2 linked regions of the Struthio camelus genome follow. The protein of the gene in region 2 interacts with the protein of the main gene of each other region in a pairwise test. Links are inferred from orthologs where the notes say so. Each region holds a gene or a part of one and is shown on either strand. Other genes may lie near its edges. The genes, in order: PALS2 and LIN7A.

Region 1 (17,020 bases), on a different chromosome or scaffold from region 2:
CTTTGGCTTATCACTGTACACAGCTAAGTAAGCAGGCGCTTGTACAAAAATAGCTGGATACTAAGTCGCTTCATCAGCCAGAGCAACAACAATGACTTCAACGAAGATTTCTCCATTTTAGATTTCATACTGTAACCACTAGAGGGAGTATTCTAGCTAAATTTCTACTGAGAAACAAGAGGGTTCTGTTTAAAGCTTTCATACCGACACTCAGAACCTTAAAAAAAAAAAAAAAAAAGCCTTTCTACACCTTTCAGCACCTCAGAGCCTCTCCCCTTCTCACCTACACAAACATTCAGTTTCTCTCCCACTCTTAGAGCTGAGATTTCTAATAACGTCTTGATCCCTAAGACCTACATCTTCCACGCCCCTACCTAATTAGGTGTAAAAATTAGGAGAAAATACAACAGCCAACCCTCCAGTGTTTTCCTACCATTTCCTAAAGTTTCTTCTGGTGCATTCCCTGCCTGTCTTTCTGTCCTTGAGGCTGCAAAGACTTTTCTCTCTTCTACCAACGGCAACATGAAACGGACACGACCCCTGCGTGCAGCAGGGGAAAGATGAGGGTCCTCAACCTTCAGCTAGCAATTCAAGTACAGTCATTAGCTCTACGTAACCAACTAACGTTACAGAAGAGCTGTTTGAAACCCAGTAACACTGGCTATCGGTTCATCTCGCTTCCTGTAGAACAGTGATTCCAAAGCAGTGGGTCCATATTAGCAGTCTTGAGCCAAGACACCTATGGGATTATCATAGTACTAATATCAGAAAAATAAAATGGACAATTTCTCACACAATAGGTCCATGGCAAAATTAACTTTTATCTATGCAGCAACTGGACCACCCTGGAGAAAGCTATGAAACAATGAAACAAACATCACAGAACCAGCCCAAATATCACCAGCTTTTCACTTCACGGATAAGTTTGAATATCTCACACAGCACACCACACAAAGTAAGAATTTAGCCTCAGGGGTAGGATCACATATGACAAATGCCAATTACATTGAGTAACGTGCTTCTGGATGTTGCTCAAAGACTATACAGAATCTATATAGAAGAGCTACACTGATCAGAACTGACCAAAGTGCTGTTTGTCCCATTCTGCCATTGCTTACCAAATCTAGCATAAGCAGCAAAACTACATGATCTGGGGAGAGCAACTGAATATCTGCATGACTTGCATTCAGATGCCTTTCCTCCAGTCATACATTCTACAAACGTTAAGTTTCACTTAACAATTTCTCTCTGCCCAAGTGTTCTTCACCAATGAACACATACACTGAACTTGCTAATTACACCTCCTCCTCCTACAGGTCCACTGACCTGAAAAATGCAAAATAAGTTTTAAGAAGCAGTATGACTATTGTAAATTTAATATCATTCAAGTAAATCTATCCAGCAACACTGTATTTTGCTACAATGCAATAGTTGACAAAGCCGGAATTGCTTAGAAAGGCAAAAGAAACTTTTCAACCGTTTCATCCACTAGACTGCAGTTTGTCTTCTCAGTTTCACAACTTCTGCTATATAAGCAGTTTCATCTTTCCAAAGAGACTTCTGTAAACTTCAACAGTGAATTAGGAAAGGTATGGGGAGGAATTTTAATAAGAAGGTATATAAATGCTTACTTACCAATTGTCACACTGACGTATTAAAAATAAATAAATAAATAAATGTCACATAAACAGCTGTTAAGACATTTTATATGCAGAGCATACAAAAAACTCTCATATGCTCCTTACTTGCATATCTCGGAAATTTAAACTGGTAACAAATAAATGAACATAAAATTATGTAGCTAAATATATAAAGAAAGTAATAATATAGAACGGCTAGTGTATTTTTCTTTCATTCCCTTGCGGAATTTACTTCAGTGCTCCCTCACATTATATTATTAGCCCTAAGAAAAAGCTTTACTCTATTCTACTCAATTTATTTCCTTCTACATTGTATCTAGGCATTTAAAGTGATATCACTTTAACTTTTCATTAAATCACATTTGACTAGTGGGTGAGACAAAGCTTTAATTGAGATGCTAAAAACAAAGTATCTGAGTAGTCACTCTCACAAGAGAATTAATACTTGAATGGCAACACTATCTCAAAGAGGCTTAAATGGACAAAACTTAAGAAGTTAAACTACTTTTCTTACCTCTTAGCGGGCATTATTTTAACAGTATTTTAACAAAACATTTGGAATCAAAAAAGTAAAAGCTTAAGCTTGCTTGAAGTCAACAGCTATGTCTCCACCTACTGGAAAAGAGAATTTAACTGAAAAACTGGTTTAATCCTTTGAGGCTCAGATAAGCAGAAGTCATAAGAGCAATATAGTAGTGCAAGATGGGGGGGTGGGGGGGGAGGGTTTCCTTTCATTTTTTTCCAAAGTGTGTGTGGAAATCGCTGGCATTTTCTACAATCAGCATAGATATCATTCTGTCCCTATTCTCAGACAGATGCTTGTCAGAACGCAAAACCAGTCAATACCTTTAAAATAAGATATCTAAATAACTTACTGAATAACATCTGTTGTCAATAAATCTGAACAAGTCATCTAATTTCAATATTTTACTAGTTTCTACCATGCTTTCATGAAACCTGCATACTAACATTAGAATGATTTCTTTAAATAAATGATTTGCTTAAAACACATAGAATAGTTGCTAATATGAAACATTCTCAATATATAAAAATTTTTAAACTAAAAAGATGATAAATAAAAGTGTAGAACCTCCCATTTTCAAATCTGCATTTTTATTATTAAATAAAGTTTGTGAAATAACTCACCATCATTCTAAAGATGCTAAATAATACAAAATAAGAATGTAAGTATTTTGACAGGGAAAAATACCTCTCCCCACCTCCCCATCAGCAAGTCAAATGTCTCCATCATTCTTGTAAGATATTTGATCATTTTTAGACACCACCCATAAGCAAATAATTCAAGCTTGCTTTATTCTGAAAAAAGCTGTTTTTCAAACCACAGGACAGCACATTAGTATCACAATGCTTTGTTTATTCCATTACAAAAGCCAACAGTTTTGCTGTAGTGTAACCTGAGAACTACTGCAGATGGTTAGTAGTAATGACCAGGGAATCAAATAAATCCTAAACTTAAAAGTGATCTTAACTCCTCCCCACCAAACTGACACTAAACCATTATTCTAATATTTTGTTGAACTCAGATAAAAAAAGATTTTAGTCATAACTGTTCTAAACTAGCCCAAAACACCGACTGGTCCAGCTATTTGGCACCGCCTTCTCCTAGCTAGTATGCACTTAACTAAAATCTTTTATCAATGTCCCCTACTACTTAACTTGTGATAACGAACAGTCACATTAACACCCTCACGTCAATGAAAACAAAGCATTATGCTCCTCTAAAAGTATTTGTCACCTGCACATCTGTATTTTAGCGTGCCTTTCAAATGTCAGCCTGAACAAAACTCGCTTTTTCCCCCCCGGAACCCTTTAGGAACTTCTGTTGTGGCGGACACTATAACCGCTTTCCCCAGTAGACTCACTCTTTAGCCTGTGATCATATTCTGCTTCACATTTCCACACAAATAATTCCAATACTGTCTGCCCTGCTCCACCTCTATGATGTTTCTAAAAATTCAGTTTTTCCTGCCATGCACAAGGCCATACCCATTCCAGCTGTCCTCAGCACTGAGTTTATAGAACACATACTCTTTAATGCATACTGTTACTAAGGCAGGTTTCTCCCCTCAACTCAATTTATCTATTGGCTCTCCTTTCCTCATAACAAACATCAAACATGACCATCTCACTCAAGGTCAGCTAAAACAAGTAAACAAACAAACAAACAAATAGCAAAAAGCAAGCCTGAGATGTAGGCACTGTTGAGAACCCTTTTGTCTGTTCTATGGTATCCTTCTGAAGCAAATACTCTTCTTGATCTAAGCACAATCACTACCTCAGCGCTCCAAACTAAGACAAGTCAATTTTTCCCCATTTTTACTTTAAACACAGAACACAAGAGGGCATATCACTTACAACTACAGCAGAAAGCATGCATTTAAAGCAGGACACCAAGCTGTGTTAAGATTGCATTAAAAGCGTTAAGTAATTTTTACAAATAAACATATTTAGGAAAAAAAGTATGATCCAGTGATTGAGTAACTGTAGTAATAGATTCATACTGAAGGCTCTGTGGTCTGCCGTTATGGTACTATAAAGTCTTCCCCAGATCATCAACCTTTGTTCATATATGCACTTTGTAGAATACCCACCACTAGGAAGTAACATCACATTGGAACTTGGTCCTGATTGAAGAAGTTATATGTTTGAGGACAATGCTCAGATCACATCCTTAACAGCCCAGAATAAAGCCTGCCAAATTATTTGGTAGGATATTTGATTTTCCTGCTTTTACTCTGGCTAAACATCAATTAAAGATGCCAAAAGTAGCAAGTTATATCATCTAGATTTCTGCTCCTTTCTGGTTCCTGAGGTTTTCATGTACAGTAATTTAGGGAAAAAAAGTTTGACTAAAAATGTTATGCTTTTAATAAGAAGCATCTAAAAAAATGACTCTCAGAGATTCATTAGATTCATTCTCTCTGTAGCTTCCTTAAGACACTTTCATATTAGCTAAGCATGTTTTCACTTCCTTCATTATTTCTGTTTTACTTAAAAAACCATATGTGACTAAGTCATGATTTAACTTAATAGCTGCCATTATTTATTAAAAAAAAAAAAAAAACAACAACCACAAGAAGCAGTTCAAGAAAGGTCCAGTTGCACATATGCTGCAACAGCTTTTCAATCATTTTGGAGTTTTCTGGTATGCACAGTTAGTCCACTAATATAGCAGCAGAACAGATACGGCTCCAAATAGCTGCTATGGTATATTTGTCAATAACTTCCATATTAAGTAGTTCTTGACAACAGAGGCAGAAACAGCAGTGATTTGCAGGATCTGAAACAAATGCAAGCACATAGAATTCAAAGAAGCTGAACATACACACTTTCACACAGATGCTGAAGGTTCCATTAAAAAAAAAAAAAAAGTAGTGTCTCATCTAGAAAAGACGAGGAGATTGAAAGCTAACAAAGATACCAGCCTTATAATGACACCATGCCTCAGTATTGCAGATTTTTCAGAAAAATATGGATCCCAGGTAATCTATATAGTGCAATACCTAGACTCAGAGAACAAAATAAGGAGAGCAAGATCATCAATTCCAAACATTTCAAGGAAGGAAAGAGGAAATTAAAGATTTCTCTGAAGAGTCCTCTAAAAAAATCACTTAAAATTAGCTCAATCTAGCCTCCAATTACCAGCATGTTATTTAAATGAGAATTTTCTCCATGGCATTTTTGATAAGAATTTGTAACAGATGTTGCACGGTCCAGTCACATGGCAAAGTGTTAAAAGCCAACCACCACAGCAGAAATAAAAGGAAACATTATGATGCTACTGTCAACTCAACCAGTTTAACAGACACTATCTGTTCAGAAGCAGCATGCTAAGGTTTGTTCAAAGCCTCCTCTAGTCTGACGTCTATTTATAGCTGCCTAGCCTCTCTACAATTTCTCACAGCCCCTCCTCCTCCCAAAAGCCAAGTCAGGAGAAGTTTAATGGATGTAATCTCGGGCCCTGTGCGGCAAGCCGGTCAGAAGCTCTGCAGCTCTCTTCCAGCAATCCCATGTGCAATAAAACTGGGAATAAGAGGAAGAGAATGGTCTAACCCACACAGGAGCCAAATACATGGGATAAACCTTATCTCTGCTCCTTAGGAACAAACTCATTTTTCCTCTGCCAGCATGTCGATAGCGTTGAACCACATAAGCATCAGAGCCTTAGCAAAAGATACCTGCCTCCTTCCTTCTCACCACAGAGAAACAGACTAAGCCAACTGTCTTGAAAGCCAAGACAGAAGCTATCCAAGTCAGCTCTGACCCCTGGACAGCAGCAATGTCATCCACATACCTTCCCACTTACACTTTAGTGTTACTACTGTACATTGTATGTTTCTCAACTGGAGAGCGGGTGTTTGTTGGGTTTTTTTTCCAATGCAGTTTCTGGTTAAGAGTTGATATCCGCTACCCAGCCATGCACGTGTGCTCTACGGTTCCAGACATATTCAGACAGGTTCTCTTTCACCAGCATCTCCATCAACAGTTTAAACACCCTAGAAAGGGGGCATACATTTTCCTGAATACGGCGCAACAGCACCGCAGGCTGACCTCTGCCACAAGCCCACCACCTCCCTTGGTGCCTCTCCCACTGCCCTACCTCCACTTGCTTGCAGTACTGGTACAGAGCCTAAGGAGGTGATAGCACTGTTGCAAACTCCTGCCCACCCGATTACAACCACATTTTCTCCCCTTTTCCCAATCAGAGGCAGACGGAAGGGGAGGGATGACTTCCCCGGGAGGAAAATAACCAGGGAAAGGCCAGGGCAGAGATCAAGAGAGGAGGAAGCATCCCAAAGGGGGAGCAGATAATCCCCGAGAGGCGAGGCTGCGGAGGGGCACAATCGGGGAGGGAGGGAGGGAAGGCAGGCGAAGCGGGGGAAATAATCCGACAGCGAAGGGAGGGGATAATCCCCTCGGAGAAGGGGGGAGGCGGAGGATCCCGGGAGGGAGGGGCGGGAAATCTGATAATCTCCAGGAGGAGAGAAAATACCGGGAAGGGGGTGGGGGAAGGAGGGTGGGCGGGTAGATAATCCGAAGCAGCAGATGAAGAGCGAGTCTCCCGGGGACGCACCCAGAGGCGGGAGGAGGAGGGTTAATCCTCCTTCTGGGGGCAAAAATCCCTTTTCCCCGACTCGGGCGCTGCCATGTTCGGTGCCCTGCAGGCCCGCCCGGCGCCGGTACCTGTGTGCGGGCGGCTCTTCCCCCCTCACACCACACGCACACGGGGCGCCTGGGCGGCCGCCCCGCTCGCGGCCGCCCAGCAAGGGGTCTCCGCCGGCATGGCCGCAGGACGCCGCTTCCCGCCGGCGTGCGGGCAGACCCTCCTCCTCCTCCTCCCCCCCCCGCCCGCCTCTCCGCTACCGCAACTCACCGGCTGGCACCGGCTCCCGCTCCCCGTCCCCTCCTCAGCGGGCGCCGCTCAGCCCCATCTACGAACTCGGGCGCGCGAGCCGGCCGTTGGAGGACGGGGCGCGCGAGCCACCGCCGCCGCTTCCCCCGCTCCTGCCGCTCTGCGCTCGCCTCGGCGCGCGCCGCCGGGGTGGCTGTAGCACGCGTTCCCGCTCCTCCTCCGCTCCCCCAACCCCCCCCGCCCCCGGCCTCCGCGGCGCGCGCGCGCGCGGCCTCCGCGGCGATGGCGCGCAAGCACCGCCCCCACCTCCTAGAGCTAAACGGCCGGGCGCGTGAGGGGGCGCGCGCGCCTCAGCCTCGCCCCCCCCCCGCCTGCCCCGCCCCGGGCCCCGCCCCGTGTGTGTGTGTGTGTGTGTGTGTGTGTGTGTGTGTGTGTGTGTGTGTGTGTGTGTGTGTGTGTGTGTGTCCCAGAGGGGAGTGTGGTTGTGAGAGAGGAGCGTTCGTGACAGGACGGGTGACAACGCCTGTGTTTGTGAGGGAGCGTGTGAGAGCGAGCAAGTGTGTGTATGTGACAGCGTGAGGGGGCGTGTGTGTATGAGAGGGCGTGTGCCAGAGGGAGGGTGTGTGTGACTGTGAGGGAGGGGCTGTGGGGGGTGCGTGTGTGTGTGTGCGAGAGAGGGTGGGTGGGTGTGAGGGAGAGGGGGTGTGTGAGAGGGAGGGGGTGTGTGAGAGGGAGGGGGTGTGTGAGAAGGCATGTGTATTGAGAGGGGTGGGGGGGAGGATGTGTGTGTGAGAGGGGGTGTATGTGTGAGAAAGAGGAGTTGGGGGGGTGTGAGAGAGGGGAGTATGAGAGGGTGTGTGTGTGTGAGAGGGGGATGGGAGAGGGGGTGTGCGTGTGACAGGGAGTGTGAGTGAGAGGGGGTGTGGGGGTATGTGGGAGAGGGTGTGTGTGAGAGGGAGTGTGTGTGTGTGTGAGAGAGAGAGGAGTGTGAGGGAGTGTGTGTGTGTTAGGGAGTGTGTGTGTGTATTAGGGAGGGGCTGTGTGTGAGGGGGGTATGTGGGGGGTATGTGAGAGGGGTGTGTGTGAGAGGGAGTGTGTGTGTGGGAGAGAGGAGTGTGAGGGAGTGTGTGTGAGAGGGAGTGTGTGTGAGAGAGGAGTGTGAAAGGGTATGTGTGTGTGTAAGGGAGGGGGGGTGTGAGAGGGGATGGGGGCGTGTGAGAGGCGGGGTGTGAGAGCACATGTGTGTGAGACAGGGTGTGTGTGAGAGGGACTGTGGGGGGTGAGAGAGGGAGTGTATGTGTGAGGGTGGGGGTATGAAAGGAGGGGGTAAGTGAGAGAGGGTGTGTGTGTGAGAGGGAATGAGGTGGAGTGGAGGGGGGGGGGGGACTCTGTGTGTGTGAGAGACAGGGTGCATGTGTCCCTGCTGTTGTGCGGGGCACATGTACCCTCTGACTGGGTTTGATGTGACTGTTTGCCAGGGCAGGTTTTGAACTCTCCCCTGGTCAAAGTCACAAGGGGTCACACCAGCATTTCACTTTGCACTGTGTATTTAGTCACTGAGTGCGCGAAACACTGACGAAGGATAAATCAAATATTTAAAAGAGAGAACAAAAAATTGTCTCCTGCAACTAATAACATCCAAGACCACTGAGATGGAAACAATGTTGCAAAAGTGATTTTCCTGCACTTTTGATCACCGTTCACTTTTTGCATTTTATTTGTTTTGAACAGCCATAATAGACTAACAATTCCACTTTTTGCTTTTACTTGGCTTTGCAGAGGCTTTCACCTTTGGATGCTCTCGGACTTAACGAAATCTGAGTTGCAAATACTGAGTCTTGCATGCACAAGTCTCACTGGAGCTGGAGTGTCTATGTGAGAGTAAAATTTGCCCCATAAAAGAAAACATTCAATCCCAAACAATATTTCATTCCTCAGATTGTTTTCATTCACTTCTGCCTTCTTTTACTGACCTTCCAAAATTTTTAAATCCAAGCATACAGTTTGGCGGTAATGTACTTAATTATGAATACGTGATAGCCTGCTGTAACATACGGTAACCCTTAATAATAGCTTGCTGCAGTTCACGCTGGCTTTTGCTGTGCAAGCTGTTGAGGAGAAGGAAAAGCCAGAGCTATGTGGGGGTATAGTTCATTTGAACAGAAAACCCATCAGGAATTGATTTTCATTTTAGTGGGTTCAAGTTGTGCTTTCATACCAGCTAACAAATAAGGCGATTTTTATACCACCAAGGAGGTCAAAAGAAACATGCATGGTGGGCATAATTAAAGAAGCCGTGGAACAGCAGCTGGCAACTAAAAAACCTTTTTCAAATTGACCAATAAAGACATATTAAGTAAATAAGATCTTTGTGTCTTCATCTTAGGGAGCCAGCATATAAAATTCCTTTACGAATTATTATTATTTGCTTTTTGAGTTACGGTAGCTACCATGGGCTCTGCTCAGACCAAAGCCACTGTGGTGGGAGCTTCACAAGGGCATGGGAGTTTGTGTCCTCAGGTCCAAAGAGCTTACGATCCTCTTACAATCTCTCAGTTAAAAGGTGCAAATTAAACGTATTTTTGTTAATTTCCTTCACAAGCAGGTATCTTTTCCCTGTTAAACTGAAAAGAAACAGCATGTTGTTAAGGATTCTAAGCTAAGTAATGAACTATCTTCTTTTTGGTCTTCAAACCAATGAAAAAACTGACAGGCATAGAAAGCCTCACACCCCAAAAAATAACTCCAGATCATTCTCTCTTCTTTACCTCTCATTTATTTTTTGTGATGTTTTAATGGAAAACCTTTTGAACCAGGGCCACAGAATGCATAACTGTCATCTTATTCTGTATTACACAACTCAACATCTTGTTGATTTTTTCTGTTACGATCCCTGTATTTGAGGAGGCTGAAAATTATTCTATTAAGGAGAAAGGGTTGTAGCAATTTATGCTGGCACTTTTAATGATATCCTGACTTTACCTTCATGGCCAATGAAAGAAAATCATTTTACTGCAACGCTCAGAGGTTCCTTATTACAATTCAACTCAAAGCTTGAATCCAAGCCTGTGAAACACGAGAGCCCGTTTTTGGCTGTAAGAGAAATATCTAAACACAAGAATTTTGACTGCTCCACAGCTTTTTTGAATGTCTTCCATTCTGGCCTCGGCAGCTGCTATTTGGCTATTAAAGCCCTGTAGGGAATGTGTCCCAAATGCTCACACACTACTTCTTGCCCAATACTTAGTCCATTTGACCCATTAGGGTCAAGAAAGGAACATAAATGAATAGTTTTAGAACAGAATTTAGAAAATGATGTTTACCCTCTGGCAGGAATTATCATATCATTTTGGCTTTTTATTGCTTACGTTCACGTGCCGCTCATAACAACAATCCCCTACCCAACGACGGTCCTTAGGACCGTGGTAGAGCAGTCCAATCTGATAGCTTTGTATCATTCCTGCTGCGCAAAACAACTGTAAATCTCTCCATTTAGCAGGGAATTACCGTACTTTAGCCAAGCCTCACCTGTTCCCAGTTTAGGGCAGAGAAAATGGGGACCTGGCCAAGGCCGAATTATGCCCCAGCAGTTTCTGGCTAGTGGTCGTGCGCAGCCAGGCGTGAGTTAGAATAGTGCCAACGCTGAGTTGCTTTATGCCAGGGATTATCTCAGTCTCTGTCTAGCTACAGGATTCAGAGAGACTATAGAAAGTTGTGAGGTAGGTCCACCCCGGCCCTCCTGCTTTTGTGCTGATGAGGATTCACTTGAGCTAGAGTTAATGACTCTGCAGAGATCTGAACTCTGCCTTTGAAACTCTGACGATACGGATCGCGCTCAGACAAATGGTGCCTTTTACAATGAAGCGTAATGCTTCTCTCCATAAAACTGCAGAGACTAGGACTGCTAATGCCAGGATAGCTCTCTGCTGGTGCTAGTAGTAGCATGGTAGATGTCTGTCTCCGAAGTCTTTCATCTTTGGTAGGGCTCCTAGCTGATGTTGACTGGGTGAAGGAGCAGACACGCCTTGCACGTGTTATAGGAGTGAGGATGAGGTTATGCTTTCAGCTGATTGCCAGCGTACTCTGCAAGCGCAGTGTTCTGTGTACTTTAGTTTACCTGTATCTAACTTGGATATTCAGTTATGATCGCTCTTCACGTAGCTGGAATATCAGACTACTTCTCTATTTGATAGTCCCTAAAATATGTTGTCCTCATCGCATGGTAAGTTATAGACAATACAGCCTCAGCCTCTTTGCTGTGTTTGTCACAATTTGGGATCTTACGACTATAGCTTCTCTTTGTCATCAAAGCGGTGAGATTTTTTTTTATGAGGTTCTTTGTGCCAAAGGAATCAGCTAGGAGTTTTTCTTTGGTATATAATATGAATTCACATCTCTACACAAGACATAGTTCCTGATATGCCAAAAGATCCAGCAAAAAACAACAAGATCTATAAAATGCATTTCATAAGAAACTGCACAAGTTTCCAAGCTATCCCATAGGAACTCATTAGAAGATCACACAAATGATTACAAATATTGAGGGTAGAATAAAAATTGTTTCCTCTTCTGTGGGGTGGAGGGGATTTGATTGAAAACATAGTAATTAGGAGAATGTTGATTTACATGGAAAGGCAGTACGAAAAAATAAAAGGGGACTATACCTTTAGAGTTAAAAGGCTGTACATCTAAGTCCCTGTGCTGTTTTCATTACTGAGGTATGTTTGCATGCGGAATTCAACTCCAAAGGAGGAGATAATAAAGACAAATAATATGGCTTTATTTTTAAAAGGGATGGATAATTTCATGGCAGCTTACAACATTGGTAACCGGGCAAACTAAGATAATAAGGCTAATCAAATCTCATGCTTCACAGCACTAGTTCCCTGCGGGGTCAAGAAAAATCTTTCCACTATATACAACACTACACAATTAGCAAGGTCATTATTGGGGAGCAGAGGTACGGCCTTCTGAAGCAGCAAGCTTTTACCATTATCAGAGAACAGGGGCTGTACTTGGCCAGATAGAGAAAAGAGCACTGTTTTCTTACGCCCCTTCTGCTCCTCTTCCCTGTCAGGTCCATTGTTTTAGAATTACAACACTCGAGTTTGTCAAAAAAATATTTCCTTGAACATAATTTCCTAAGTATATTACTGCCTGAAAAAGTCTTCCACCTGTGACTGGTGGTCCAGCTCAAAAATAGCAGGCACTGACTGGACACAAGGACGGTATCGATTAAGAGGTTGCAGGTTGCAAATGCACATTGCCCTCTGGTTAGGTCAGTAATGTTATGGAATTTGCTTCTCACTAGTGGCTTAGGCAGAAAGACATGGTCCCAAACCAGCTGATCTTAGCTAGAAGCTGAAATGACATGTGTTTGGAATATTTCATTTTAGAAGTACTGTTCATTTTCTTTAATTGCCTGAACATATTGTTGTAGGTGTTCTGTCTGTATACTTGAATTTTATTTTCCTTCAGTGTGTGCATCAGAGAAATGATATTAGCTGCAACTGAAAATATTTTGCTATTTCTTCTGCAAAATTTATATTCTATATATGAATGTGATACTTTTTACAAGGCTTTTTTTTTCTCCTTGCAAGATAGAAAAAGCACAATAGCAGAATAGCATCTTTTGAAAAATCATATTCCAAAAAGAACTCCCTCTCTATGAGCAATACCTCAGACACAACAAGTAGGCACTTCCTTGACTCCTACCTCATATATATTTATTTTAAATGCACTAATTATTCTCAGGTGACCTATTCTTTTCCCCTGTGCACAACCTATGTCCATTCTCAACTCTCAGTCCACATACTGTTTGGAGCAAAAAAAATCCCAGCCACCACCTCACCTCCATCTTGAGATTTGAGTTAAATAAGAAGAAAATCAAGAAAACATGGGAGGAGCTTACAGGACTATCTCAAACTTTCTTCACAGGTATGAATATGCCAATTATTCTTATATAAAGAACATGCAACTCATTTCTCTCCCTAGACTACATGGCCATGAGCTGTTAGAGCACTCAACTGAAGGAAACTGAAGAAAAAATAAAATTTATATTTACTCCTCAGATTTCAGGGACAGATTTAGTAAAGTATCTACTGTCTACAAACTAAAATCCAGAATACAGAGTTAGGCACAAAGATCCATAAGGCCAAACAATGAAAACGCATCTGTTCCTGAATGGAGTAGGTGATTTAGTGACAACATAGCCAAGTAAGTCTGACGTACTCAATGCCGCCTTTGCCTCATTCTTCACTGACCGGGTCTCCCAGGCCTGTGTGCAAGGAGGAGAGCCACCAGCAGTGGGTGAGGACAAAGTCAGGGATTACTTGTGAGAACTCAACCCATACAACCCATGGGGCCGGATGGGCTGCATCTGAGGGTGCAGAGAGAGCTGGCTAATGTCCTTACAAGGCCACTCTCTATCCTCTTTGAAAAGTCATGGAGATTGGAGGAGGTCCCCAACAACTGGAAAAGGCAAATTTTGCACTCAGCTGCAGAGCAAGCCAAAAGGATGATCCAGGAAACTACCAGCTGGATAGTCTCAATTAAGTTCCTGAGAAAATCATGGAGCAAGTCCTTTTGGAATACATTTCTGAGCACATGAAGGAAAAGATGACCGGAAACAGTTAGCATGGATTTACCAAGGGTAAATCAAGCCTGACCAGCTTGATTGCCTTTTATGATAAAATGACTGAATTTATGAAGGAGGAGACAGCAGTAGTTGTTAAGACTTCGGCAAGGCTTGAAATATTTAAGTCTTTAGCAAGGTTTTTGACACTGTCTCCCACTACATTCTTGTATCAAGGTTCAGACAGTTTGGAGGGATGGAAAAGTAGATGGGTAAACAGCTGGTTGGGTGATCAAGGGTTCAGAGGTTCAGAGTTAATGGGCCCTACTGTACCTGGAGGCCAGTAACAAGTGGAGTACCACAGGGGTCTGTCCTGGAGCCTGTCCTGTTTAACATCCTTGTCAATGACCTGGAGGAGGCGACAGAGTGCTGCTTGCAGATGAAACCAAGCTGGGGGGTGCAGCTGATATGCTGGAGGGCAGAGCAACCCAGACAGGCTGGAGGAATGGGCCAACAGGAGCCACAAGAAATTCATCATGGAAAAATGCAGAGACTTGCACCTGGGGTGGATTAGGTGCTTGCACCAATCCAGGCTGGAGATTGCCTGGCTGCAGAGCAGATCTGTGAAAAAGCCCCTGGAGATGTCTGTATACAGCAAGCTGAACATGAACTAGGAATGTCCTCTGGCAGCAAAGAAGGTCAACAGCATCTGGGGCTGCATTAAAAAGAGGAAAGCCAGTAGATTATTATTCTCCTTTACCTGGTACTCCTTAGATCACATCTAGAATTGTGCATCCAGTTTTGAGAACCCCAGTACCAGAAAGGCATTTATAAACTGGAGTGAATTCAGCAGTGGGACACCAAGATGGTCACGGGCTGGAGCACTTGTCTGGTGAAGAGAGGCTGAGCGATCTGGGCTTGTTCAGCTGGGAGAAGAGATGTCTTTGGGGGGACCTAACATCAGCCTGGCAGTGTCTTCTGGAAGGTTATCAAGGAGCTGGAGCCAGGCTTCATAGCAGGGCATTTCAGGAGGATGAGCAACAGAGGACATACATCAAAACAAGAGAATTTCAGACTGGATACAATGAAAAACGTTTTCACCATCAGGGCAGTCGAGCAATGGAAGAGGTTGCCAAGAGAAGTTGTGCAGTTTCCGTCCTTGGAGTTTTTCAAGACCCAAGTGGATAAAGCCCTGAGCAACCTGGACTCATCTCATCCCTGACCCTTCTTTGACCAGGAGATTGGACAGTGGACCTCCTGAGTCACTCTATGACTGAATTACTCTATGATTCTGACTCAATGAGTTCATGTGCAGAACACATGGAAAAGTGACTATACGGTGGGAGAAGACAGTTCTAGCATTTATGATTTATCCAGTGAAATGCTGCATCTCAAATATTACTGGGAGCGAGGACCAAAATCCAGGCTATAGTTGCTCAGCTGTGCCATAATTAATTGGATATAGTTCCATAATCCTCCTTTTTTGCTCTCCTTTTGGCCCCAGCAACCTTGCACTCTTGGCTGCACAGGGACCAGCTTCAGGAGGAAGACTTGAATGTTTTGAAGTCTTTTCTGGCCGCTAGCAAATTTCTTAGATTTTTCCCTTTCCACAGTCTCCCTCTAACAGGTTTCCACACTGAAAGAGAAGTCACAGCAAAATTCTGAAAACAAAACTTTCCAGGTCTCTTGACAGATAGCTCAGTGGTATTCATATCCAAAAATAATTTCTTAACAGAAAGTGTGGAAATTCCCCTATTTCACCAGACTATCTTCACTCCACAGACACAAAGCTGAAATTCTAGGAAAAAAAAACCCACATATATTCTAAGTTTCCGTATGGTTTTCCTTTATACTGCTAAAATGATGTCATTTACACCCATTTGGAGATCCATTTACTACATGATGGCTATAAAGGGGCCTTAGTTTAAAGAATAATCAAGTCCCAGGAAACCTTTGTCACATTCAATAAAATCAGAATACAAAGGCAAAGAATTTAATTAAAAACTTCAAATAAACTCAGGGGAATCAAATCATTTGTGAATCTAAGCCTATCAGAAACGCCGTGGCTTAGTGGCCCACATGAGTAGACCTCAGTTCATTTCCTAACAAAATCTTCTCCACATTACAAAAAGTATTGCCAGAGAGACTATGAATCCTCATGCTTCAGGGCAAAATTAATAGTTAGCCTAGGTCAGGAAGAACTATCCCTTTCAACAGAAAAATGAGCAGTATTAGCAACTTTGGACTCCATGGCTCTCTTCCCGAAGCTGCTTTTGTAGCTTCAGCTACAAAAGACAGCTCCTTTCCAGAACTCTTTGGCTGCAAATCTTTTCTGGCCAAAGTACATTGCTGCTCATGTGTCCAGTTCATTGGGATGCTATCAAAAGATTGTGCCTCCAATGAAAATCTCAAAGATCGTCATCATCATCAGTAGCAGGCATTGCTACCCGTTCCCTGCTATCTGCCATGGCAAACTCATTGAAAGAAGACCACAAGTCTGTTTGCCAAGAGTGACAGCAGCATCAGAGGAGACTTTTTCTGCCTGAATGAGGAAACAAAGAAGAGGGAGTCAAGAGAAAATATGAGGCGATTATACAGATTGGAGAGGGGAAAGAAGCTGAAAAGATATTTTGCAGTTTAGAAAGGGCTCATTTTACTTACAACCACATTTAGGGACCAAATTCTTATTTTAGGCAGGTATAGCATCATGAAAAGAGTATTTAATGATTTATTACACCAATGTCGATCTTACATAACTTTCTGGTTGTGTTTCCTATTCAGTCTCCATATGTTTTTAAGATTGCAATCCCGTGATTTTCAGATTTGAGCCTGTCAGTCCTGAAAGTATTTAAAAGAAATTCAATTACAGCCACTAGAGCAAACCAAGCTTAAAAAGAAATAAAAATTGACTGTAAGCACATGTAATAAAATGTCTCCATTTAAAGTCTAATTACTTCTATTGCATGGTCTAAATAGACCTGAGAACTGTACTTACTGTTCTTGCCGTTAATTTCTGTCACAAAGTTGCTTATCAGTTGAGTAAAGTTGGCTCATAGGACTAGTGGTGTCCTTTTATTCTGAGTTATAAGTCTAGTTAAAACAACACTCTTGTTGCAAAGTGTGTTTTGGAAAGCCAGGGAGGAAATGGACTCCTTGAACCCATTTGTGCAATTTCTTCTGGGGCAAAGGGATGGTTACAAACCAGAAGTATGGAGCTGCACAGCGCAAAGCTGTCTCTGGGAACCTCAGACATGGCTCTGATCTCCTCTGCCTCAGACAAATTTTGGGCAGAGTGGGAAACTGAGAACACAGCTGACGAAACATGGGGCAGCCCCTGCAAATGGGGAGGTAAAAAATAGTTACTTTATGCTTCTCACAATACAAAGGCCATTCCAGGGATGAATTCCTAGTTATTGGTTAAACTCCTCTCTC
Region 2 (16,183 bases):
TGCCCCTCTATACTTCTCAAAGGTGACAATGTTAAAAAACGTCACTAGTTTTCAATACCTTTCCATGTGTTTGTGTGGTGTTAACCACGGAGGTACAGCATTATGAAGAAAGGCAGAACCAGAGGTCAATTGTGCCTGGTGCACATTGAAGATGATACAATGAACTTTCATTTCTTTTCATTTACTGTGCAGTGACTAAGCTCAATTGCCATTTCTATAACATCATGAGCTGCTTTGGGCAGGAGGACAGAGTCATCTCTATAACAGCAAAGCCAGACAAACTGATATATGTCAGCGGAAACCTTACCTAACTCAAGTGCTTCCAGCTTTTCACAGAATTACTCTTACAGTCGTACACCTCGGTACCTCTTTCAATTCAGGCTTGTACTACCAGAGATATTTAAGTTGGATATATGCATCCAACTTTTCGAATTACATATTTTTACATTACTCAAAATAATCAAAGATGACATCTAAGTAGCCATTTCCTCTTATCTAGCTACAGGGCCACAGGAGACACTACTAAACTGCATCCTTAACTAATAAGCATTTAAATTGCACAGATCTTCAAAAAACATACCCATTCATAACCCATAAATCACCAGCTCAATCCACTCACCTTAATCCAGCTCTTCATAAAAATACAATTAAAAATGAAATAAGTGTTAACACAGTGATGTAAAACAAAAAATGCTTTTCAGTCTGTCACCAGAATTGTCACTTTTTCTGTTCCTGCAGATTCAAACATAAGCCTTTTTTTTTCTTGGAAGAATGAATTTGGTTATTTATATGTATGTCATCAGTTGGCTTATCATACAGAGAAGTGTTAAATTTAAAGTGTGTGGCTCTTGCAGAAATATTTTTACTATTTTAACATGCTAGCCTGAAGAGCAATACAAGAAATCTCTATGACGGATAGATATACTTTGTAGAAAGTCATGAAAGGGAGCAGCACAACCGCTTAACACTGTTTTGAAGAGCTTAACTGCAGTGTAAAAGATATTTGGCCTTATTCTGCACCTCTGTCAAGAAGTATATTTCACACTCCATGATTCGGGTTTTCTCTTCCTGATTAGTGCTTTATATATTTTTCCCAAGACAAATATATATGGTTTAACATACGTACAGTTCAGAGCAACTTATATTCAATATAATTTCTATTATAGACACATATGGGCAAAGACAGGGGAAAGTCCCCACTTAGGTAAGCTACGAGAATATAACGACCAAAAAAATGAAATGAAGAGAAGAAAAGAAAGGAAGGAAGAGTACTTTGACAAGTAACAACGTACATTAATGGTCAGCTGTCCTCCAGTATCACATTTGATAGAGTATGTCTACCACCTCTTATAGCAGATGGTAATTCCATGCATGCTCTTATTACTATTTACCTTCACTGAACATGTTTGCTGTATAACAGATTTTCAGTAAGTTTTGGCACACCCATTCCATTGGAAAAGTATTTAGCTGAATTCAAACAGAACCAACAGAGATTAGTTATGTGTTAGCTCAACAACAAGAAGTCTTTCTGGTTTCCTAGGACTGTTTTGAAAGCAAGAGAGATTCTGTTGTCAGTGTTTTTGGTTTATTTTAATGCTCTAAGTGATCTTAACTAAAGCCATCTCACATTGTTCCCCATCTGCCTCCTGTATATCCAACAGCTCTGACCTTGTTGTGAAGTTTTATAAGCACTTCGATATCAGCACTGCATGTTCAGTCAATTCAAAGTTCTTTCCTCTTCAAGCACGTGACTGTAACTGTCAGTGGTATGATTAGTAACTAATTACAAGGAAAAAAGGAATTGGACGTGGATTATTAACAAAAGATGGTCAAGCCTCCCCTCCCCCCCACATGCTAAAAAGATATTTTCTTGCTCTTAATCCCAGCGTGGTCTTAGCACAATCTAATCTCATATCTTCAAAAATGAGAGGAACTTTTGAAAAGTGCTCTTTTATAAACTGCCACTTTATCCTGCTCCTATGCAAAGAGAAACAGGGACAGAGGTTTTCCAGCAATCTGAGCAAATAAATGGTTGGTTTTCTTTAAGAGCAGACTTCCATCTTTGGAAGGAAGAGTACAAATAAAATTTAAAGTAAGGTAAGCTTTATTAAAAACTTGCTAGATGTTTAGCACAGTAAGAAAGTTCAGATAAAGTAGAACATCTATTATGCACAGCTAGAAAGCACTTCAAAGTGCAGGACTCCACATGGGTGCCAAGGGAAGCACTAAAATTACTGCAATGAACCTCCCAATATATTTCCAAGAGCATAATGGTGTTTGCAGAAAACGCTTCCATCAGCCTGTGCTAACACACCCTTTCAGCTCTTCACATTCGCAGCAAGCTTCCTTCAGTTTCTAATTGCTCACAATGCGTATCTGGTGACACACAAGAGTTCATGGGAGGTCCTTAGAGAACCTCCAACAAGCTAAGATGGTTGGGATAGATGACAGTGCACTTGAAGAGCAGAACACTGCTGCAGTGTGTAGAAGATGCACCATTTCTGGCAGTATGAAGCTGGTAAGGTGGCAAGGGTCATGGGAAAGCAAAGGAACTGATCATTAGATGAGGAAATTAGGTTGCTGAACAGTAAAAATGAGTAAGGGTTACAGGAAAAGCAAGTAGTAATGTAGTTAACTGTGCTGAGAATTTGTGAGGAGTTGGGCAATGGGACAGAGCACATGAAGGAGGCAGGGGGTTATGGGGAGGAAAGGGGAAGGCAGGAACTGCTGTTCATGGGGTGGGTAGAAGTTTGCATGTATGAAACATGAAAGTCATCGAGAGGAAAGGAAAAGACAGTGATGCCAGGCTAGTAAATAGAACAACGGGTTCCAAGATACAGCAGTAGAAGTGATACATGAATACGAATAGCATAAATAGTTGGAAAATGCCAGTTAATTGAAAGTAAAGCTATCTATAAGAAGAAACAATGTCAATAAAGTCCTTATTAAGAAGTAAAAAAAAAAAAGTTCTGAAATTTTAAAATGCTTTTTCTTTGTCATTTTATGAATCATAGCATTGTAACTTTTTGCCTCAGTTTGGAACAAGGTAGGGTCTTCAAAAGCTCTAAAAACATCCCTGAGCTGGCCTGAAAATTCTCACATTTTGCTCTGAAGGGCATTGGGATTTACTACCGGGGTGGTACTGATTCAGGATGTAAGTTTTTTGCAATAAAGATAGTATAGGTGCACATTTTTTAGGGAAAAGACTTACGTGGCTATTGGTAGAATCACAGCATACAGGCTCTTTCCCCTCCCAAGCTCTGAAACACAGTCACCATCTACCCTAACCACCGTAAGAAAGTATCCACAAATCACTCTACTGCCTTACTTTACCCTCTTGAACAGTTGCTGATTCCTTCCCCTGCTCCCAGCAGGGCACCATACAAAGTTCAGGCAAAAGCCTTTGAGATTAAGTTTTAAGTGATTAAAACTTCCATTATTTTGTGAACTTGTTCCACATATTAAAAAGCCCTAATGGAAGTTGCACACATTTGTGCAGGTAGGTAGGCACATGATGAGAGGAATTAAGGAAATTAATTCCTGTGCTTTGGACAGAAGTAATCTTCCAGAATGTAATTGGCTTTCAAGCATTCACACATAACATGCCCTTCACCTTTAAATGGTAATTAATTTTAACATACATATTTCAAATTCCATTTATGTCAGGGTTCAGGAAAGCTCCTATTGCCCTAGCCGAACACACGATATTCGTAGTCTTATCCTGGACAAAATGTAAGAGCGTAATTCAGATTTCTGATCTATGTTTCTTTACAACGTTTTACCATTTGTATGTGACCCTTAGCAGGGAGAAATGCAGAAGAATGCTCCCTGAGACAGAGTTCAAGAGACAGCTCCCTCAGCAATGCAAGGCGATTGCTATATCCTTCCACGGAATATACCTTCTCTTCTTGCTGCATTGAACTCTCTTTGGACATGGTAAAGTGGATACACGTCGTGGTCTCCACGACTTTTCAGGGCTTTGCCTAGACCATACTAGAGCTGTGCAAACCAGAGTGATCACACACATAGCTGCATCTGCTTTAATAAAAGCAATGGAAGTCTGGGAAATCCCACGACGCAGCACCTTCCTTCTTCCATGGTCGTGAGAGAAAAGACTACAGAGGAAATTTTTGGAAAATTTAGGCTTGACCTAGTTGCTTCTGAGATGTCGGCCCACCCTCTCCGCTTGATGTAGCGGCAACATGCGATAGGTGAAATGTATCCCTCTGATAAAATGGCCTTCTGTAGGTCAGGTGCAGTATTTAAATCCACTACTTGTCTATACTTTTCTTTCGCATGTCACATCCTATGACCATGTGATACTGCATCTCCCTCATACTAATATCAGCCCTGTATGACAACCTGGGAGATTGCAACGTTGGCATCCCCACCCAAACGGTTAGGCATATCCTGGACGACAGATGTTTATATTTAAATTGGGACTAATTTGTATTTTCTGTATTGTGGCTTTGTTAAAGCTTAGTCTTAGTAATGAAAAGGAATACATAATTCTGAAATAGTAATACTTTTCTTTGAAAAGCCAGGTTTCCTAATGGATTGCCATCTGTTCAACCCTTTGCCAGGAAACAGATTTGTCCTGCTTACTGCAAACAGTATTAGGGTGAAACTGTAGATTACACAGTGGATTGCTGAGCAGTTTAATTTAAAGTGCATGCTAGCGCTTTGTTATTTCAGAAATAACAACTATAGTTGTTTCTTTTCTAGCAAAGCTTGAATTTACACAAATCCATCCAGCAAACTGTATTTAGAATACTTTATGAGGTGTTTTGCTCTTCAATTCCAATAAAGTCGCCTAAAAATCAAAATTTATCATGTTGAAACTGAGCTCATCAGGTTTCTTTTGCATAGCAAGGAGCTCTCTGTCTTATTTTGAGAGCCCTTCTTAATCTTCCAGAAAGAAGATTTTGAAAGACAAGACGTTGACCTAAATCATGCATTCAGAAGTCCAAGACTTATGCATGCTGGGAGCCTCTAAATGCAAGTTAGGAAGAAAGATGCCCCAGCAATTCAGAACGCTGTCGGGAGCTGTTTGACCTCTTTAACTCGTGCAGCCAAAGCAGCAAAACAAATGAGGATGGTAAGTTACTCTCCTCTGTAACCCAGAGAAATCTGGTAACGTTTCTGCAGAGCCTTCTTAGAGGCACACACCTACAGTCATTGAGAGGTCCAATTTGTACAGCCTGGAGGCAGAAGTTGAGTTTCAACGTAACCTCAGGAGCGCAGTACCCTCTGGCATCATCTCCATAAGGTTAGTGACAGTGTCTTAAAGCTAGGAAAACATCAAGCCTGCTCTCTATATCTGGACCAAGTACTCATCCACACAAATACCTAGACGCACTGTTTTACACAGTACCGCCGCTAACGGCGGCGGAGACAGAAACTGCCCTGGCCGCTCCCTCCCCCGCATCAACCAACCCCCCGAAACGCAGCATGTGGCACCTGGAAAGGAACATCTTTTTAGGAACGCGACAACCTGTAACTTCCAGATGCCGGGAGAGAAGGGCAGCCGCCACCGCAGCAAGGCAGGCGCCCAGGCTGCCCACACCCCGCCGCCCTGTCAGCGCCCAGGCGCCGGCAGCAGGCACGGCTCGGCTCGGGGGCAGCCCGCCCCCGCGGGATGCCGGCCCTACCCCGGCTCCTCGGGACGGGCAACCTCTTCCCCCCCCCCCGCCCCCAACCTCCGGAGAAACTTTTATTTTCTCCGTTTTTATTCCTCCCGTCCGCGAGCCGGGCTCGGCGGGGAGACGCCTTCCCTCCTCGCCACCCGCCTCGCCCGGCACGCCCGCCGCCGCCGCGCTGGGGCTCCGGGGGAAACTGTGCGGCTCTCTGCGCCGCGGATGGCCCCTCGGGCCGGCGCCCGGGCTGGCAGGGGCGGGCGGGCGCGGCGGCAGGAGCCGCGCTTACCTCGGTCCAGCGTGAGCGGCTGGACCGCTGTCAGTGTCGCCATGTCTGCGGCGGGGCTGGAGCCCGAGTGACGCGCGGCTCCGACACCGGCGTGCAGTGAGGGGAAGGGCGGGGAGAGGGGGCGGAGGAGGGGGAGGAGGGTGTCGGCGGGAGGGCGACGCGCGGCAGCAGGCGAGGCGAGGCGCTGGCTACCGGCATCGCCGGGCTAGCCGGCCGGGCCTGGCGGGAGGCCTCCCGCCTCCTTCGGGCTGGCCTCGGGGCGGAGCCGGCGGGCCGCCGGCGCGGGGGAGGCGAGGGCGCCGCAGGCCGGTTCTTAACGGCTTCGTCACGAGCCGCAGGCGGGAGGGGCGCCGCAACGGCCGGCGGCGGGAAGGCGGGCGGTCCGGGCCGGCCCCATTGGCGGAGGGGAGCGGGGGGGGAGCGGGGCTCGTTTGGGGTGGGCCGTGCCGTGCCGTGCCGCCGCCGGGGTGAGGAGCCGGCGAGGGGAAGGAGGGCGCGTTTGTGCCGGCGTCGTGGGTCTGCATGGCGGTGCTGCCGGCAGGATGGGCAGGGCCTTGGCGCCAACGGGCACCGCCGTTTTAAGTCTGCCGAGGCGTGTCCACCACCATAGTGGTGGTTTTTGACGGGCGTACTCGTCAGCCTCGTCCGCCGTCCTGCGGTGGCCAGTTTCCTGAGCGTTGAGTGCAGCTGGGCCACCCTCAGGAAATGAAAGTCCTCTGATAAGACGCGTCGACGTGCGTCTCCGTCGCGTGGGGTTGAGTCCTCGCACTGGCAGAGAGAGGTGGCCGCAGGCGCGTCGCGCTCAGCGCACGCCGATGAGTTGCGATGTGCTTGACGGAGGCTGTCGGTGAAGGTGGCGTTTCGTACAGTGAGCGCAGCGGGACTTGCTGGCAGCCGTCTGGTCGTGTGCTCCTGGCCTCCCCAGGGAGTGGCAGCGAATGTCGTCTCCTGCCTCGCTGGAAAAGGGGGTGTTTGTGAGCACGGCAGAGCGCCACAGAGTTGCTGCTGCCTTCCCCAGGGTGGACAACGGTGTACAGAAATGACTGAGTGAAGAATTAGATCCTGTTAGACCATTGCCTGGTCTGCTACCTGCATTTTTGTTTGCCCAAGAAGCATTTAAACTGGGTGGAATCGTAGTCCAAAGAGGAAGGCAGTACTCTGTTCCCCATATCCCCTGGGACCTGAGAAAACAGAGAGGACTTAAAAATACAGCAGTGGGAGGCTGCACATCAATAAAAGCTTTCTACCTGCAAGGGTATTTCAACACCGGTGTAGATAATTAGGGAAACTGGAAGTATTATCATTGGAAGTTTTAAGAACAGGTTAAAAATACATTTGGCAGTCTTAGATAAATTTAAATAATACACATGAGCCACCCACTTCTTCTGTTAGACTGAATTCAACACAAATTTCTCTGATTAATAAACAATAAACAGTTGTCCCTTTGGATAGCTTGACAAGAAAATGTTTTAATTGGTGAAAATACTAAAGTCAAAAAATCTATTTTTGGCAAGCAGTCAATTTTATAAATCAAAATTAACATAAGGATTTTTATTATGCAGATTTTATGTACTTGCCTAGCAGCTGGATTGACATAAAGTGTAACAGCTCCTCTTGAGTAGTCACATTACTGTGTATTGGATTCATAGTCCTGAACAGAGAAGAGGTACACATTTGGAGCTTTAACAGCCTAATGCGACAACTCTCAAACTGTTATGACACTTTAAAAAAGTCTATTGCAGACATAAAAGTATGTTTAAATAATATTAAAAGCAAAGTGCCAAGCTAATTAGCCAATCAGGTTGTTTTTCATACAGGACTTTATAATCCTCCAACTTGTTCTTTTAAATTGCCATATTGTGAACAGACATTTTGCAGCAAAATACAATTACGACATGAACTTTTCTATTAATAAATATGTAATGCATATGCCAAATAGATAACTTGTTAAAGCTAGATCTTTAGAAAAAGCAATGTTTGGGCCTGAGCAGGGTTTCTGTGGAAAGCGGTAAGCTCATTCTGAGTTCACCCTTTTATATCTACCGCTGGTCAGATTTCCTATGCTCTGCCACAGAGGCTAATTGGCACTTGGATGAGGGATTTGAATGGGAGTATTATCTGTGCTCAAGGAAGATGAAAAGCAGCATTTGCTGAAATTAGACATTTCCTAATCAGCATAGCTGCATAGCTAATGCCCAAGAATGTTAAAGCTGAGGAGTGCCTTAAGCTGCTGAACTGGGAAGATTTCAGAAGTTGTCCAGTAGAATTCCGTAATTGGAAAAAGGGAGAGGGAATGAACCAGAGAGCTGTGAAGTAGCTCTGGTTTCCCAGTGTCTGTTCCCAGGAGAAAAAGCAGACTTCAATACAAATTAGTAGTCAAAGAGAATTAGTATCAATCAGCCTACCTTCTTGGAAGGTGGATCTTTCTAGATGGAAACAACTGTTATGATCTTCAGTCCTCTTGCTGATTCCTTGGGCTATATTGAAGCTTTTAATTTAATATCACGTGATGTTTACTGAATGGGTGAAACTATACTGAATTAACAGAGTATCTATTATATGCACTGGAATCTGGTTTATTGGCAGATCTTCAAAATGTAGGCAGTGGTCAGGTGCCAGTGTACAAAGCTATTTCTAACAGATCGCCTGGAGATTCATTCTGGCTATTTGCTATTTTAATCAAAGATATAAAATGTGGACATAGAGGCTTTGGTAGCTGTTTTTAGATAATGCATCAGAGAAATAGTAAGGAAGATATGATATAAAAATAAATCACAATAAAAGTGGGTAAACCTTGGGACAGGTTGTCCAGAGAGGCTGTAGAATCTCCATCCTTTGAGATTTTCAGACCTGATGGGGCAAAGACATGGGCAACCTGCTCTAGCTGTGAAGTCAGCCCTGCTTTGAGCGGGAGGTCAGACTAGATGTTCTTCAAGTCCTTTCCAACATAAATTATTCTATGATCCTGTAACAAAGTGGTCAAACTACTGGTAAGAATTGCTGGAATAGCTGGACTAAATGGTTACAGTCCAAAAGTATTGTGTTTTAACGCAGCTGCAAGTGTTGAGGAATGCAATTGATACTTGTGAGATCGAAGCCTGTTTTGGGAAGGGGTGGTCTTACATAACAGTCTCAACATAAATTCTTGGTGCGCTGTTGTCAAAATGGCTAATGTGATCCTTGAATATAGGATCCTTAGGTATAGGAGTATGAAGAAGAGGAGTGACAAATAGAACTAGGGAAATGATCCTTCTTGTGTACGTAGCATTGATAAAGCAACTTGCTGGAATCCTGTGTCCAGATCTGGTGTTTGCATTTCAAAATGGCGACTAAACTTTGATGTAAGGTTTAAAGACCTGAATGCTTATCAAAGGGAAGCGTGAAAAGGAACTAAATCATTGTGTATAGGTCTATGTATAAGCAAGAGGCACAATAGTGCGGGGATTTATAGTCTTTAAATTTATAGTCTTAAGACATAAGGTGATCCCATGACTGGGAGTTTGACAAATCCAGCCTTGAGTCTGACATACTTTTCTAGCAATAAGGATAACACAAGGTCCCATTATTCACTGTTGCTTGAAATCTTAGCAAAAATTAGAGGTCTTTTAAAAAGGCTTGCTTTGATCTAACTTCTAAGGAAGAGTAGAATGGCAAAGGTATTCAGGAGGTTAGATGAGATAATGATTGTGATCTATTACTCTCATGACTTCTGTGACTGTCTGATTTCTCTCAGGAATTGGAGCTACAAGGGCCAGAGAATTATTTCTACACAGCACAGTGCAGTGGAATGTGGAAAACCCAACACACCTCTGAACACAGTAGTTGGCTACCAGAGTAATGCATCTCACTAGTCCTAAGCGTTGTACGGGCTAATTAATTCACTGGAACTAAGCTGTCACCCTGTGACTGGAATACAGTGGTAAATGCAGCTATTTTTTTCCCCTGAGACACCTCAAACAGAGCTAAATCAGAGGTGGAAGTGCTATTTCTGGTGGCTGCAGAGGTGTGCGGCAAGAAGTCACAGCATATTGGCTAGCTCAGTCTGTGTCTGGGTTACCAGCGCTGTGTTATGCCTTTTAGCTATGCTCTTTATATTAGTCTTTGGACTAAATGTTTTGTCATGACTAAATTTTACTTTGGGCAATTACCTTTGGGTTCCTACTTACATATCCCATGAGGTTTCAGTTTGCTGCAAGACTGTTCACAGCCAGGTTTACTTTGGAGAGCTTGGGGGGCAGCCACTCGCTTTCACCCTAAGTTTACAAAATAGGTGAATTTTATTTCATGATCTAATTAAATCTTGTTTATGCCCCTTTTGGTTAAATGCAATGTGTTATTTCATTGCTCTTGTATCTACTTGATGGCTCCGGGGATCACACTCTTTGTTTGGAGGATGACCAGCTGTATCAGTCGTTCCCCGTCCAACAATGGTTTTATCATGTTTGAACTTTGCATGGAACTCCAGATTATTTCAGTGCAGATTCCAGGTACAGAGAACTTTCAAGATCATATCTTAGAACTGATTCAGAGCACACATTCAGCCTTTTCTCTTTTTTTCCTGCTGACCACTAGTTTCACTTGCACCTAGTACTTCAGTGCAACTAAAAGCAGTTTCCAATAGTGTTGTAATACTGCCTATGAATTCTCAAAAGGCTCTCAGGAGCCATTGAAATTTGTTTTTTGAGTGGCATTTTGCCTCTACAGGGGAAAGAATTCTTCCTTTTTAAAATCCTTCAGTTATTTCCATGCTGTTTCCATGGCAGAACTTGCTATTTGAGACATCTAATGGTTTAGCAGCAGGTTGTTTATTGGGCAAAAAAGTGCATCAGCTTCCCATAAGAAATGTGATTTAGTGCTTTCTGAGAATTATATGCATTAGTCACATGTACAGTTCATTTTGTCCGAGGAGAGCCATGCCACCTTAAATAATATGTTAGATGAGCTGGAAAGTTCTATAGGAGTATGCCTCTGTATAGTACAGTACTTTTCCACTGTACTGCACTGTATTGTAGTACCATGCTTTCCTACAGGACCCGTTTTACATTTTGTAGGTAATGCAATTGCTATTTTCCCAAACGTTAAAACCAATTTGGCCTTTAAAAATAGTTCTTTTTTTTTCTTTTTTCTTTCCTTTTTTTCTTTTGTTGTTATTGTCGTCGTTGGTAAAGATTCAGCTCCAGTGGCCTACAGTGAGAAAAGAATTGAGCCTTGCTGAAAGATTGTCCTTAGACTCTGTTGAAATTCAGGTGGAGAGTCTACTCAGTGCTGTGGGTTTCACCTTATAGTCTATAGAACCCTATCAAATCCAGGCACCCTCTCTAAAAATAACTACTGCAAAAGCTGACTAAGAAAAGCATCCCTGTTGTCAGTAGGCTTACGTTTTCTGATTGGGGTACTGGGCTGCACTTTGGTGAACAAGGCCCACCCTTTCAGGCAAGAGAACAGTCCGAAAGCAGTTACAAATCAGACCTTTAGCCCATGATGTGTAAAACCATTCAAAATACCTGATACCTGAAACTTGGATCTGTTTCTCGTGGACGTTTTAGGAAGCGTTTACCATGACTTACTTACTTTGACTGCTTTAAGGATGTGGTCTCTACCCAAAGTTTGTCTGTACTGTTAACCTGTGAGAGGAAGTGTAAATTACTCTCTGTGGGACCACAACTCTTCATTTGGTGTGTTTACTGCCAAGTGGGGCTTTGTCTGCAAGCACCATACCTGCAGTCTTAACATACTCATAGTATATGAATACCAACAGACTGTAGCTAGTGTTTTTAATTATTCTCACAACCATTTTGCATCTAAATTGCACCTCTCATAGATAAGCATCATGAATTGTCCACCTACCTCCCATATCCAATCTATTAATATACATTTTGGATGGAATTTTTGAGTTAATGTGATTTCCTAACAAGAACCATATGAGTTAAAAAGAGACTTGTCCATGAGAATATGTTTATTGATTATTCTTGGCTGGGTTTTTTGTTGTTTGCATCAAAACATTCATATACAGAAAAAACAGAGAATGTGTGGTCACAGAATTGAAAATCTTATCTGTAGAGGATGTTAAAACAGCAGAACATATCATTTCAAATGGTTTTAGAAACCAGTGGTGAGCTCATACTGATAGTTACAAGGAAGTGCGTGGTGTGAAGTATGTTGATTTAGAGAAAAAAGTGCAAGGACAGACCACAATTCCATAAAATTGCCATGGCTAATTAATCTGGGAGTGTGAACAGGGCAACAGATATTGCTGGCTATCAGCCTTGTATTTACTGAATCTGTAAGGCCAGTGTTCATTTTCATGTGAGATAAGTGACTTTTTGGTATGCCTCTGAAAATGGGTGAGACCTTGATTTTAAGGAGTTGTTGTAATTAACTCTGATTTTAGTATATTCCTTAAGTGATTTTTTTGAGCCATGAACATTAAAATATGATTAAAAAGCCATTTTTAAGTCTAGCTTGTATTTACACATTTTAATTGGGAACGGAAGAAAAGCAAGCTGTTTGCAAAACTAATGTGTTTACATGAAGCTTCAGTATTATCTGAAATCACCGATTACATGATGAAGCCGCGTAGATAATCAGTTTTGTCAGTTTGAGGATTGAAAAAGCCAAATAAACCAACGAAGAATAAAAAAACTCACGACTTGGAGAAACAGTATTGTGACTGAGATGAAAGCAGTAATTCTGTTTTAGTCCTGCTTTGCATAAAGAATGGGAAAAGATAAATTTAATTTTAGTTGAGATAGATTATGATTGTACTGAAACTTTCCTGTTTTTTTCAGTGACACGCTCATAAAAGATGATAGTTTAAGTACTGTGGGGACGAGAATGTCATGGCCACTGATTATCACTTTGAATAACGTGATCTTCGCAGGACAAGAGAGCCAACAGGAAATACGACCAAGTTATCTTGGTCTAAGAAGCAGTTTAATGGTCGTCTCTGTATCTCCAATCAGCATCTCTTCAGGGCTCATCAGTGCAACATTGTGAACAATTAAAGCACATCTCATCACTGCAATGCGCTTAGGTGCACTTGCTAAGATATTCCGCTCCATTGCGTACCCCGGAGGCGAGACCAGCTTTAGGGCACATGTAGGTTATATAGATGTATTTTAGATGTGTACGGATGCTGATATGTCTGCATGTAGTCCCAATGTTGTGATAAACTTGTTTGTCTAAAGGTAGTTTAAAGTCTTATTTCCTATGAGCCTGGGAGTCTGCAAGACTCTTAGTCTTGCAAACAGTAAATGTCTGGGCATATACTGTCTTTACTCACATGGTAAACTTACTTGCTTCAGTGAGTTAACTAGTGCAAAAAAGTGTGTGACTCAGTTCAAAATTTAATTAAATGACATAAACAATATTTTCCTCATGGGAGGCCCTCAGGGAAACCTGAAATGTACAGATTTAAGGTCCTTGGGTGATTTTTTGGATAGCATACTTTTAATGTTCAGAGGAACATTTCCTCTTGGCACTAAATTAACAATATTCTTCAGCACATGCTGCTGTCCATCTGCTCAAAGCCCTCAGATGACACCATTCTGGTAAATTTGCTCTTCATTCACATTCAAAGCCATCAAATTTGCTTTCAAATTGACCCATATTCCGTTCCAGGCTAGAGAACAAATTCTCAATTTTTTTCCACTCTAATGGCTGCAGCATTGTCAACAGTTTATATCTAACCTTTTCTCTAAATAGATGAATGCTGCTGGGATTGACATCAGGTCACAGGGCTCTTCTGTCCTGCTTTCTCTGCTGCCACAGATGATGCTCAAGGCCCACTGAAGCAGCACTCCAATCACATTAACAGCTATCATCAAACACTGATGAGTATTTGATTTTTCTCCAGGCCTGTCTTAGCTGCTGCTGCTGCAGTGAGAACTATCCCATCTAGTTAGTGATTGGAGTGGGTCTGTCTGGGCAGAGAGTGCTCTCTGTTCGTAGCAAAGCTCTTTTTTATGGTACCATCTCCGTTTGCTGTCACAAGAAGTCGCCTTTTGTTGCATCTCTTTGCCCAGCCAAGGAAATTCCCCTTAACAGAAGTACAGTTAGTTGTGCCCTACTAGCAGCCCTTGGAGACGGTGGCTCTGATCATAGTGACCAATGTACAGTCATCAGATTGTTCCTGATGATAATTCATGTGAGGGCACTCCACCCTGCACCCTGTATGTGTCTTCTCTAAGAACGTGCACAGTTCTCTTCACAGGCTCTTTAGCACCTTTCCAGCAAAGCCCTTCTACTGAGTCCTTACTGTGAAACTCTAGATTGTAGACACTAGCTATATAGAGAAATCATGGGACAAGGTAGTCACTCCTAACTGGGCTGGTGAATGTTATGTGAGTTGAGGAATTGTCGTGGCCTCAAGCACAGGCGTCAGGGCAGATGTGGTTTTACCTTGTTGCCTGTTCTCTGCAACAGCCCAGGAGAGCAGACCATAAGAGTATTTCTAACCCAGGCCGCCTGCTTTGCCAGAGGGGAAGGTGGCAGGTTGGAGGAGAGAAGTTACCAGACTGAAGTCATGTCCTTGTATGAGTCTGCTCATTTTTTCTTAATCCAACTTTGTCCTTTGACTTAAATAATTTTTTTTGTACTATCCCCTCCCATTCTGTACCTCTACCCAGGCCAGTATATGTCCTTCCTGCACTGAGCTGCCCCAGATACATCTGTCCTAAGTGGCTGATTATTTATTATATTTTTCTAGGATATTTGAGTCTATTTGCTGCTGGTTCAGCCACAAAGCTAATAAAATCAGCAAGGGAACAGCACTGAATATATGACGGGAACGAATTCTCACAATTCTTAGAAGGAGTCTGTGAGGACTGAAGCACGAACCTTGCGTGTAGTGAAGCAAGATTGTTTATTTCATAGTCCATCCTCGCTTATATACCTTATTATGTGAGAACATACACCGTATTATGTGAGAATACAGCTGTGTTTGCAGATTAAAGTTACTTCGCTACATTGCTACAAGCCGCGCTCTGCATGGAGATTATCTTCTCTCTCTCATGTCCTTGCCCTGGTTTCAATATCTGCACTCAGATAGCTCACGCGCCCCTGTCCGTCTTGGCACTGACTCAAGTCTTCATGTTAGGCGCACTTTCCCAGGGCTTCTGGCACTGAGAGAATACTTTGTTGCTGCTCCTAATCGTCTTCTGGTACACATCGCCCCCGACAGGAGTCATCCGAGGAAGAGCAGAAGTGCTGCTGGTCTTTATAGTCACCTCTTCTTTACCTGGAAAATTTAATACACCGAGAGCAAGTCTTTCATATCTAGCTCTTGTCCAGCATCCTTCTGGCAGCTACGCTTGTTTTTCACACACATTTCACATTTAGTTTCCCTCTCCAGTATCCTATTTACCAGATACACCCATCGGCCTAATCTGTTATCTGATAGCCAGTATTGGAAGTGCCACTGTTCAACATTGTAAACGTGGCATGGTGAGGCCCCATGTGCACTGGAGTGTACCTAGAAGGTACGTGGATTAACTACAGCCTATTACTGCAATTCCTTCTATTATCACATGAGCTGCTCTTTTTATCACCTGATGCTATCATGTGTGCTTGGAGCAGGGGAAGAAAGCAAGAAGTCTGGCTAATAAGTTTGAGTCCAGCAGCTCTACTTCCTGGCGTAAGAGCAGCCTTTCCAGATCCAGTTCTGTGTTGCCAGTGGGGGGATATCCCCTGACTTCCTCTGGCTTTCTGAATTATTAACCAGAATGGAGCATGAGACCTGTACAAAGTCCATAATGTACTCAACCTGAACTAATAAGCTTTGCTGAACCCAAGCAGACTTCATAGGGTTGAATGCATCTCCGTTGCACTCTCCAGTGTTGTGTGTGGAACCTGCATGAGCAGTTAGGATTTTACCTGATTATGCATGACTAAGATAATGTCGGTGGATTTCAAGCTGGGAACACTGGATATCAGAACACTGGACAATCCAGAAACTAAGCGAGAAGAATAGCAAGGGAAGGGCACTAGTATCAGCAGGCTGTGGGATGGGAATTTGCTGGACTTGTAGTTTCTTCTTTTTCTGCCTGCCTTCAAAAGGTCTCAGTTTTGCAGTTTACTCATTTTTTTCTTCTTGCAGTGAGACTGAACAGAGTATTTTGAGCTTGAGTTCTTTGGCAGCAAGAAGGGGAACTCTATCTCACAGATGGGCCAGAGAAAGACTTAACACCTGTTTTCCTTTTTCCCTCTGGAGTTACCTGTGTGTTCTTTGTATCCACGTAAAAGAAAGGCTGTGTCTGTT

The links.
Region 1: the proteins of LIN7A (region 2) and PALS2 interact in binary tests that used the Homo sapiens proteins (3 or more experiments, as listed by UniProt). The link is inferred for Struthio camelus from reciprocal best matches to the Homo sapiens genes LIN7A and PALS2.

Annotation. Positions count from the first base shown.
Region 1 is NC_090943.1:37,875,561-37,892,580, reverse strand, and holds the start of PALS2 (protein PALS2), read right to left. Parts: upstream 7,260-17,020; 5' UTR 7,036-7,259; intron 1-7,035.
Region 2 is NC_090942.1:45,807,578-45,823,760, forward strand, and holds the start of LIN7A (protein lin-7 homolog A), read right to left. Parts: upstream 6,255-16,183; 5' UTR 5,969-6,254; coding exon 5,926-5,968; intron 1-5,925. UniProt on the Homo sapiens protein: Plays a role in establishing and maintaining the asymmetric distribution of channels and receptors at the plasma membrane of polarized cells.